Linked DNA regions of Oryctolagus cuniculus. The protein of the gene in region 1 interacts with the protein of each later gene in a biochemical or structural test. Links are inferred from orthologs where the notes say so. Each region holds a gene or a part of one and is shown on either strand. Other genes may lie near its edges.

What was found.
Region 2: the proteins of AKAP1 (region 1) and MYCBP form a complex in vitro, tested with the Homo sapiens proteins (2 studies listed by BioGRID). The link is inferred for Oryctolagus cuniculus from reciprocal best matches to the Homo sapiens genes AKAP1 and MYCBP.

What each region holds. Positions count from the first base shown.
Region 1 is NC_091448.1:32,671,268-32,674,767, forward strand, and holds part of AKAP1 (A-kinase anchor protein 1, mitochondrial), read left to right. Parts: intron 1-2,159; coding exon 2,160-2,337; intron 2,338-3,500.
Region 2 is NC_091438.1:133,966,199-133,970,132, forward strand, and holds the start of MYCBP (C-Myc-binding protein), read left to right. Parts: upstream 1-1,134; 5' UTR 1,135-1,185; coding exon 1,186-1,269; intron 1,270-1,464; coding exon 1,465-1,537; intron 1,538-3,934. Other genes in the region: GJA9 (gap junction alpha-9 protein), read left to right, coding at 1-118. UniProt on the Homo sapiens protein: May control the transcriptional activity of MYC. Stimulates the activation of E box-dependent transcription by MYC.

The DNA.
Region 1 (3,500 bases):
GGCTAATTAGATTATATTTCATAAATAAGAGGGTACTTCAAATAGTTCATGGGAAAATGGAAGTAAAAGATGAGTTTAGGGATGAGTGTTGTGGTGCAGCTATTAAGCTTCTTTGGAGATCTGCCTCCTGAGTTGTGTTTTTGTTTTTGTTTAAAGATTTTTATTTATTTGAGAGACAGAGTTCAGACAGAGAGGGAAAGACAGAGAAAGGTCTTCCTTCCATTGGTTCACTCCCCAAATGGCCGTAACAGCTGGAGTTGTGCTGATCCAAAGCTAGGAGCCAGGTGCTTCTTCCTGGTCTCCCAAACGGGTGCAGGGGCCCAAGCACTTGGGCCATCCTCCACTGCCCTCCCAGGCCACAGCCGAGAGCTGGATTGGAAGAAGAGCAGCTGGGACTAGAACTGGCACCCATATGGGATGTTGGCACCTCAGGCAGAGGATTAACCCACTGCACCACAGCACCGGCCCCCTAGAGTATCAGAGTTTGAGTTCTGTCTTCACTTTGGGGTCAGCTTTGTGCCAGTGTGCACCCTGAGGGGCAGCAGGTGATGGCTTAAGTATTTGTTTCCCTGCCACCCACAAGGGTGTCACAGATAGTTTGGCTCCAGGCTTTCTACTGGCACAGCCCTGGCTGTTTTGGGAATTTGGAGAGAGAACCAGCTGATGGAAAATCTCTCACTCCTATTGCTCTGCCTTTCAGATAAATGGAAGAAAAAATTTTAAGTTTGGTACAAAAATGTTTAAATCTACACAGGTAAGGGATCTCCAAACATTTGTGAAATTGCTAATTGAAAAAGAACTAAATATGGACTTCAGACTTTTTTCTGCATGAAATAATCATTTTTCTTTGTGTTGCTGAGAACCTTTTGAAGTACCCTCAGAGTTCTCCCTCAGGCCCAGAAGCTGGGTCGCTCTATAGCGTTGACCTGGGAGCGTGGCAGGAACAGGGGCCTGCATCTTGAGGGCCCCTGCGTGCTGGTGCTGCGGGATGTTTGGGGCCTGTCATCTCATCTGGCCCCGGTCCAGCCCCTCTCACTGAGAAGTGCAGCGTTCTATGGGCCAAAGATTGTTTCCTGCAGTTCTCTAAAATGGGCTAGGCCTGCTGCTCCAAGAAGACCTCCCCTGGGTTTGGTATAGGCTGAGACATGGCAGTTCTGTCTTCCTCTAGGAAGACCCTTGTGCTGTAGGGAAGGGATAGGGAACCCTTTTTGCTTTCTGGGAGTATTTGCTCCATGCTTTATTCTCAAGTCACAGTTTTGTTTCCAGGAGGCCTGGCTCAAACCTTCATATTAAGTAACGAAGGGTTTTGTGTAGTCTTCCTTCCCTTCCTGCTCCCTCACTGTGGAGGTCATCTCGAGACATGCACTTCCAGAGCCTTGAGCTGACAGAGGAGCATGGAGGCCAGGACTCTTTGCTGGGAGCTTCTCTTGTTGTAGACAGCTGGCTGGAAGGTAGAACAGACTCTCTGTTGGCCCAAGCACCCCACATGTTGTCTGTAGCTGGGCATGGGGAAAACTGCTGTTGAGGAATAAGGCTTTTAGAGACGATGTGGGGGTTCCTCCAGGGCCTTAATATAGGATGTGCCTGCTGAGTCCCAAAGTGACAGTGAGCTGAGGAATGTCTGGAATGTAGGGAAGACAAGAAGCTGCAGAAAGAGCAACTAGGACTCAGACCCTGAAAGTGGACCTGTCATTAGGAATGCAGACTAGAGACTGTCAGGCCCTGGGCTTCTAGGGTCAGCTGCTGGTCCTGAGGGGCCTGGGCTGGCTGCCTTTTATCCCCCGGCACCTCGTTCTCATCATTGCTTCATTCTGTTTACCTCCCTGAGTCTTAGAGACTCATCAAGGAGGTGGGAGGGAGGGAAACCTCTGGCAGAAAGATTCTATCGAGACCTGTGTGAGGCCCAGTACCACATTCACAGTGGGCTATTGGATGCCCAGAACCTCCCTGCACTGCCTTGGGGTGACACTCCTCCTAAAGGCCACTCTTGGTATTGCAGGACAGTGGGCCTCTGGCTAACTAGCTCATGGTGGCTGCCATCTGGGTGCTGTGTTGTCTTGGGTTGCTCTACCTTTCAAGGATGTGCCAATTCAGAGACTTGTCCTGGGGCCTCGGGGCTTAAAGGTTGTCACAGTGCCTGCTGCCCCTCCCCTTTACAGCTCATGCTGCCTGATGGTGTCACTGTGGAGGTCATCGTGGTCAACCAGGTCAACGCGGGGCACCTGTTTGTGCAGCAGCACACACACCCTACTTTCCATGCACTGCGCAGTCTGGACCAGCAGATGTACCTCTGCTACTCTCAGCCTGGGATCCCTACCCTGCCCACCCCGGTGGAAAGTAAGTGCTGTCCTGGGGCCTGGCAGGGGGGATCTCAGGCTCTGGCCAGGCCATGGGGGAATCCTTGAGGGCTGCATGTCTTGTCCTTGTTCTTGGTGAGGAGGAAGTTATTCTGAGACCCATCGTGGGCAGGGCATCCCTGAATTCTTGCCAATGTTATGGAGTGGTGCTGGGCTGAGTTTCCTCCACCTAGCTAATGGCCAGCAGGCCAAGCTGCTGTTTCCATTGGTTGAGCAGTGTTTTGATGCATGGATTCAAATCTCAGTCTTGCCACTTAGAATCTGTTAAATGGGTGTAACTACTTGTTCTGGGAATTAAGGTTGGCCACTCTGTGTTATACAAAAAACACTTGATGCATATACTGGTTTCTTTAAAAGATCCTCAGCCCAACAAGCCTGTGTGGTAGCTTGGGTCATGTCCATTTAGCATGTGAGGACACTAAGCCTCTGCAATCCAGTGACTTGCCCAGGTGACATTGGAGCAGGAGCTGGGATCCAAAACTAGTCCGACTCCTAAGCCTGTCCTTTGTCACCTGTCCTTTATCATCCTGTCTGCGGGTTTTGAACATCTCTCCACCCACCCTCATCAAGGTTCCTATCCTGGGTCTCCCAGTGGGCTTCAAGGCATCAGGGAACCTTTTGAAATTATAGCATTTTTTTGTGGTTTTTCCCTTTTGGAAGCATAAGGATTTAGTTTTTATCAGAAAACTTAAAATTGGTTCAACTTAGCAGTAAAGACTGAACCAGAGTCCAAGAGGCATCTGTATTAAGGGCTCCCTTGATGGGGTAGGACCCAGTGTAGCCAGCTCCATGTCCCAGATCCTCATCCCTGATGTCCCAGAGCAGTTGCAAGGGGTGCACTGGGGACTCTTACCCATGGTTGCCCCAGGGTAGGGGTGTGTGGCCCTGTGACACACAGCCTTATGCTCTGAGCACCGTCCTGAGGCAAAGACTTCTTAGAAGACCTGGCTGTCACTGGCCTGAGAGTCCCTTGAGTCTCTCCATTGAGATCTATACTCAGGAATGTAAGTCAGGGTCTGGCATCTGAGTTCTGTATTTCCTTGGTTTGTTCTGGCTAATCTGTGTCCCATTTCAGAGCAGTGGGTCTAGACGGAAATGCTTTTCCAGCTACACACACAGCTGGGCACACAGCTAGGCTGAGTT
Region 2 (3,934 bases), on another chromosome or scaffold:
GTCCTGTGAGCCTGGGTTGGTCAGACCCTGCAACAATCCTGTTTGTCCTCCAAATCCTGCAGTGTCCTTGACCAACAGCCTCGCGGGGAGGCGGCTTCCCACCGACCTCCAGATCTGAACAGCTCTGGCTTCTGGACCCGGTGCGCCCTACGTTATCAGCGAAGTAGCCTCGCCCAGGCGGAGCACGGACAAAACGGCCAGGGGCAGCTGTTAGGGCTGTGGCAACTGCGACTCATCTGTGCAGGGACACTTCTGAATTCAAAGACCAAGGGTTGCCAGGTCAGGATTTTTCTTATCTTCATTTTCTATAGCTCTCTTTAGAATGTGTGAAATCCACTAGGTGAAAACCACACGTTCAGCATCGCGGCTACGTGGTTTGGAGCCAGGTTTCCTACTTGGGAGGGGCCCATGGCTTTGGGAAATTGCTCTTGATCCCCATAGCGCCTTCTTTTAGCCCCTTTATCCTCTATCTTTGGACAACGGTGTGTGTGTGTGTGGGGGGGGTGATTTTGTATTTTGTGTATCCTGGGACTCCATAGCGTAGTTTCTTTGTGGACTGCAACCTCAGGTGTACGAAGTGTAACCACAATAAAATACTACACACATCTGTGGCTGTCTCCCACCGGCCTCCCGCATCGTCACCGGTCACCCAACCTCGCCACTTCACCGGCAGCTCGCACACGGCAGGGAGGCTGTGAGGATTCACGCGAAAGCACCCGTGAGCGCTCCGCGGCGCCGGCAGCTGCCGGAGCACGTGGCCGCTCGCCCTCCAGGGCCCGCACCCAGATGTGGGCGCCGCAGCCAGCACGCTCACGCCTCAGCACGCACCTTCGGACACTGGAAACGCACGGATCCCCCAGCGCCCACCGTGCGCGCGCTTCCGGGACGACCGCCCCTCCCGCCCGCGCGCTCGAGGGCCCCGCCCCCTGGCGCCACGCCCCCTCCGGCCGCACCTGGACGCTAGGCCCCAGCTCCCGAGACCTCGCTTCTCCCTCTGCAACCGAATCGCCGCGGCGACCGGAAGAGGCGCTGCTCGGACAGCCCGAGGGGCGGGCGCACGCAGCCTCCCTCGGCTCTGCCCCCGACTGGGGATCCAGAGCGTCCCGGTCGCCATGAAAACAGGCCACACCCCGGCCGCCCCGGCCCGTGGCTCGCCAGTGCGCAGTCGCGTGCGCCCTGCTGCGCATGAGCAGTGCCGGCCGGAGCCCGCCAGCCACGGTCTCCGGCGCCAGCGACGCCGCTGCCGCTGTCACTATGGCCCATTACAAAGTGAGGGGGGCGCGGCGTGGCTGGGGGCGTGTGGGCGGTCGCCAGCTGCGGGTCGGCGCCGGGCGGGAGTGGGAGCGCGCGCAGGTGTGGGGGGTCCCCGCGGTAGCGCGGTGGAGGCGGGGTTGCCGGACTCCCAGAGCCTTCTTCCTGCTCCGGCCCCTGGGCTTCGGCCCCTGACCCGCGGTGTCTCCTCAGGCCGCCGACTCGAAGCGCGAGCAGTTCCGGAGGTACTTGGAGAAGTCGGGGGTGCTGGACACGCTGACCAAGGGTGAGCATGGGCTCCGATAGGGCTCCGCGTGCCCCTCGCCCTGCCGCTCGGCGCTGCGCCCCCGGCGGGCCTCGGCGCGGGGAAGGAGGGCGAACAGGTGGGACCCGTCCGGGTCGCAGCGAGGTGGGCTCGGGGCCGGGCGCTGCCGGCCGCCGCGGGCGGGGCGGCCTGGCTCCCGCTCCCCGCTCTCCCCGCGCCGAGAGCGCAGCTCTTGCAGCTGTTGCAAAGTCGCTCCAACTTCCGCCGCTGTGCCTGGAGCAGCCGCAGTGGTCGTGTTTGCTGGAGACCTGTAGGTGCCGGTTCCTCCCGCCTCGGGGCGTTTGCGGACCCCCCCAGCCCCACCCCCACCCCGTCCCCTGAATCTTAAGACACATTTTTCCCTCCGACCCAGGGCAGCTGGGGAAAACACCAGATACGAAAGAGGGCTGTGCAGCACTCCTCGCTTCCCCCGCTGTCTTGGTCTAATTCAGTTCCTGCTGTGTGTAGATTTCGTATTGAAGGTAGAAATGCAGTGTGTGAAGCCCGAGGACACATCAGAATTTTTATATTGTGCACAAGCTTAAAGCTGGAAGTCCACTGTTACACTGTATCAGTGCCCGCGTGGGTTCAGGATCTACTGGGGGAGATGCTTCAAACAGCAGGGGTCCCAGAGGTGATAAGGGGTCTGCTTGCTTCTGAGCTCAGCAGTGTGTCGCCTGGCTCACTGGCTGGGATTTTCCAGGGTGTAGAACGGAATTGCTGGCAGAGATGAGACCAGGACCATGGGAAAAGAACAGGAAATGTCTGAGAAATAATTTGGTAACTGCTCTGTGTTCAGAAACGAGGGTTTGGGGGAAGCTTCTGGGCCAAGAACTCTCTGGTCTTAGAAGATGGTAGGGCTCTTAATTCCTATGCAGGGATGGCTGTTTGACTTGCTACCCACGTTGGGTTCGATACTAGTCTCCCTGTCTTTGCAAATACGTTTCAGCAAATGTGAAGGAATTCCTCTGTGAAAGGCTGTGCTGTGTTGTCACTGCAACTGTCGTGAATGCTTGGAATGTCATTCCCTCAAAAAATCCAGCAAACTCATTTCTTTAACCATTTTATTCAGGCCTCCTAGACACTGGGGATACAGTAGTGGGGGAAGAATGTCCCAGGCCTCATGCAGTAATATCCTAGCTGGGGAGACACAGCGTAGATAAATACTTAGTGTCAACTAGTGGTAAGTGTTAGGAATGCAAACCTAGCAAGGTTAGGGGGCCGAAGGTGGTGGGTGTGATTGTGCCACTCAGTCAAAGTGTGCGAGTACCAAGGCTTTCCTTTAGAAGTAACTTGCGAACAGAGACCTGAATGAAATGTTGAGTTCCAGGAAGTCTTACAGGTTGATCGTCTTTAAAATCCAGAATGCTCTGCTATCTGAAACATAGTGTCAGCATGACACCACAAGTGGGAAATGCAGCAGCTTGACCCCATGTAATGGGTGCCAGTCATAATGCACATTGTGTAAATTTACCCTTAGAAACACTGTGTCAGTTTGTCTTTAGGCAATATGCATAAGAGGTCTATGAAACAAATAAACTGTTTAGACTTGGATTCCATCCCTAAGATAGTTCATGTATATGCAAATATTCCAAAATCCAGAAAAAAAAAACAATCTGAAACACTCTGGCCCAGGCTTTTTGGATAAGGGATATCAAGGAGGCCAAAGTGGCTGGGTGGAGTGAGTGGCAGAAAGCCAAAACAGAGGACGATAGGATTTGGTAACTGACTGCACAGGAGAGGCACAGCCTTGTGGCCACGTGGGGTTTTTCCTTCATGAGGGTGGAAGATCCTGGAGCCGCCTTTTCCCTTGCACACACCCACTGCACTGTAACTCTTCATCTCCTTAGATTTCCACTCTCCGTAACACCAGTGTAGTGTCTACTGGTATAATTTAGTTTAGAGTTTTATTTTCAGCTTCAAACATAGGTTCTTTATACAAATTAGTTTTTTATCCAGCTATTTCCAAGAAGATTTGAACTGCTTATAACAAAATACTAAAAGAGAATGGCTAAAGATGATAGATCTTTAGAAGAGAAGGCATTTTAGTTATTTTGAGCACTATATCAACCTCTAAACATTCTAGCTGCCTAGGCAAAAAAGGGGAACATAATCAGGCAAAGAGTTTTCCTTCTCTTACTAAAAGGAAGTATATTTCATCTATAGAAAAGCACAGGAAACAACATTTACATTCGATTCTTTATTCAGGTTTTAAGGACCATGGACAAATTTAGAAACTGAAAGAAGTGGGGTGGGAGAGAAGGGGGAGGAAAGGGTAAGAGTATGAATATCCATGTCTCAGAAATTCAGGGTTCAGTAGAGCTCAGTAGGAATTAATGGAAGAAGAACAGGCTGGAGCATATGAAGAAAGAAGTAATA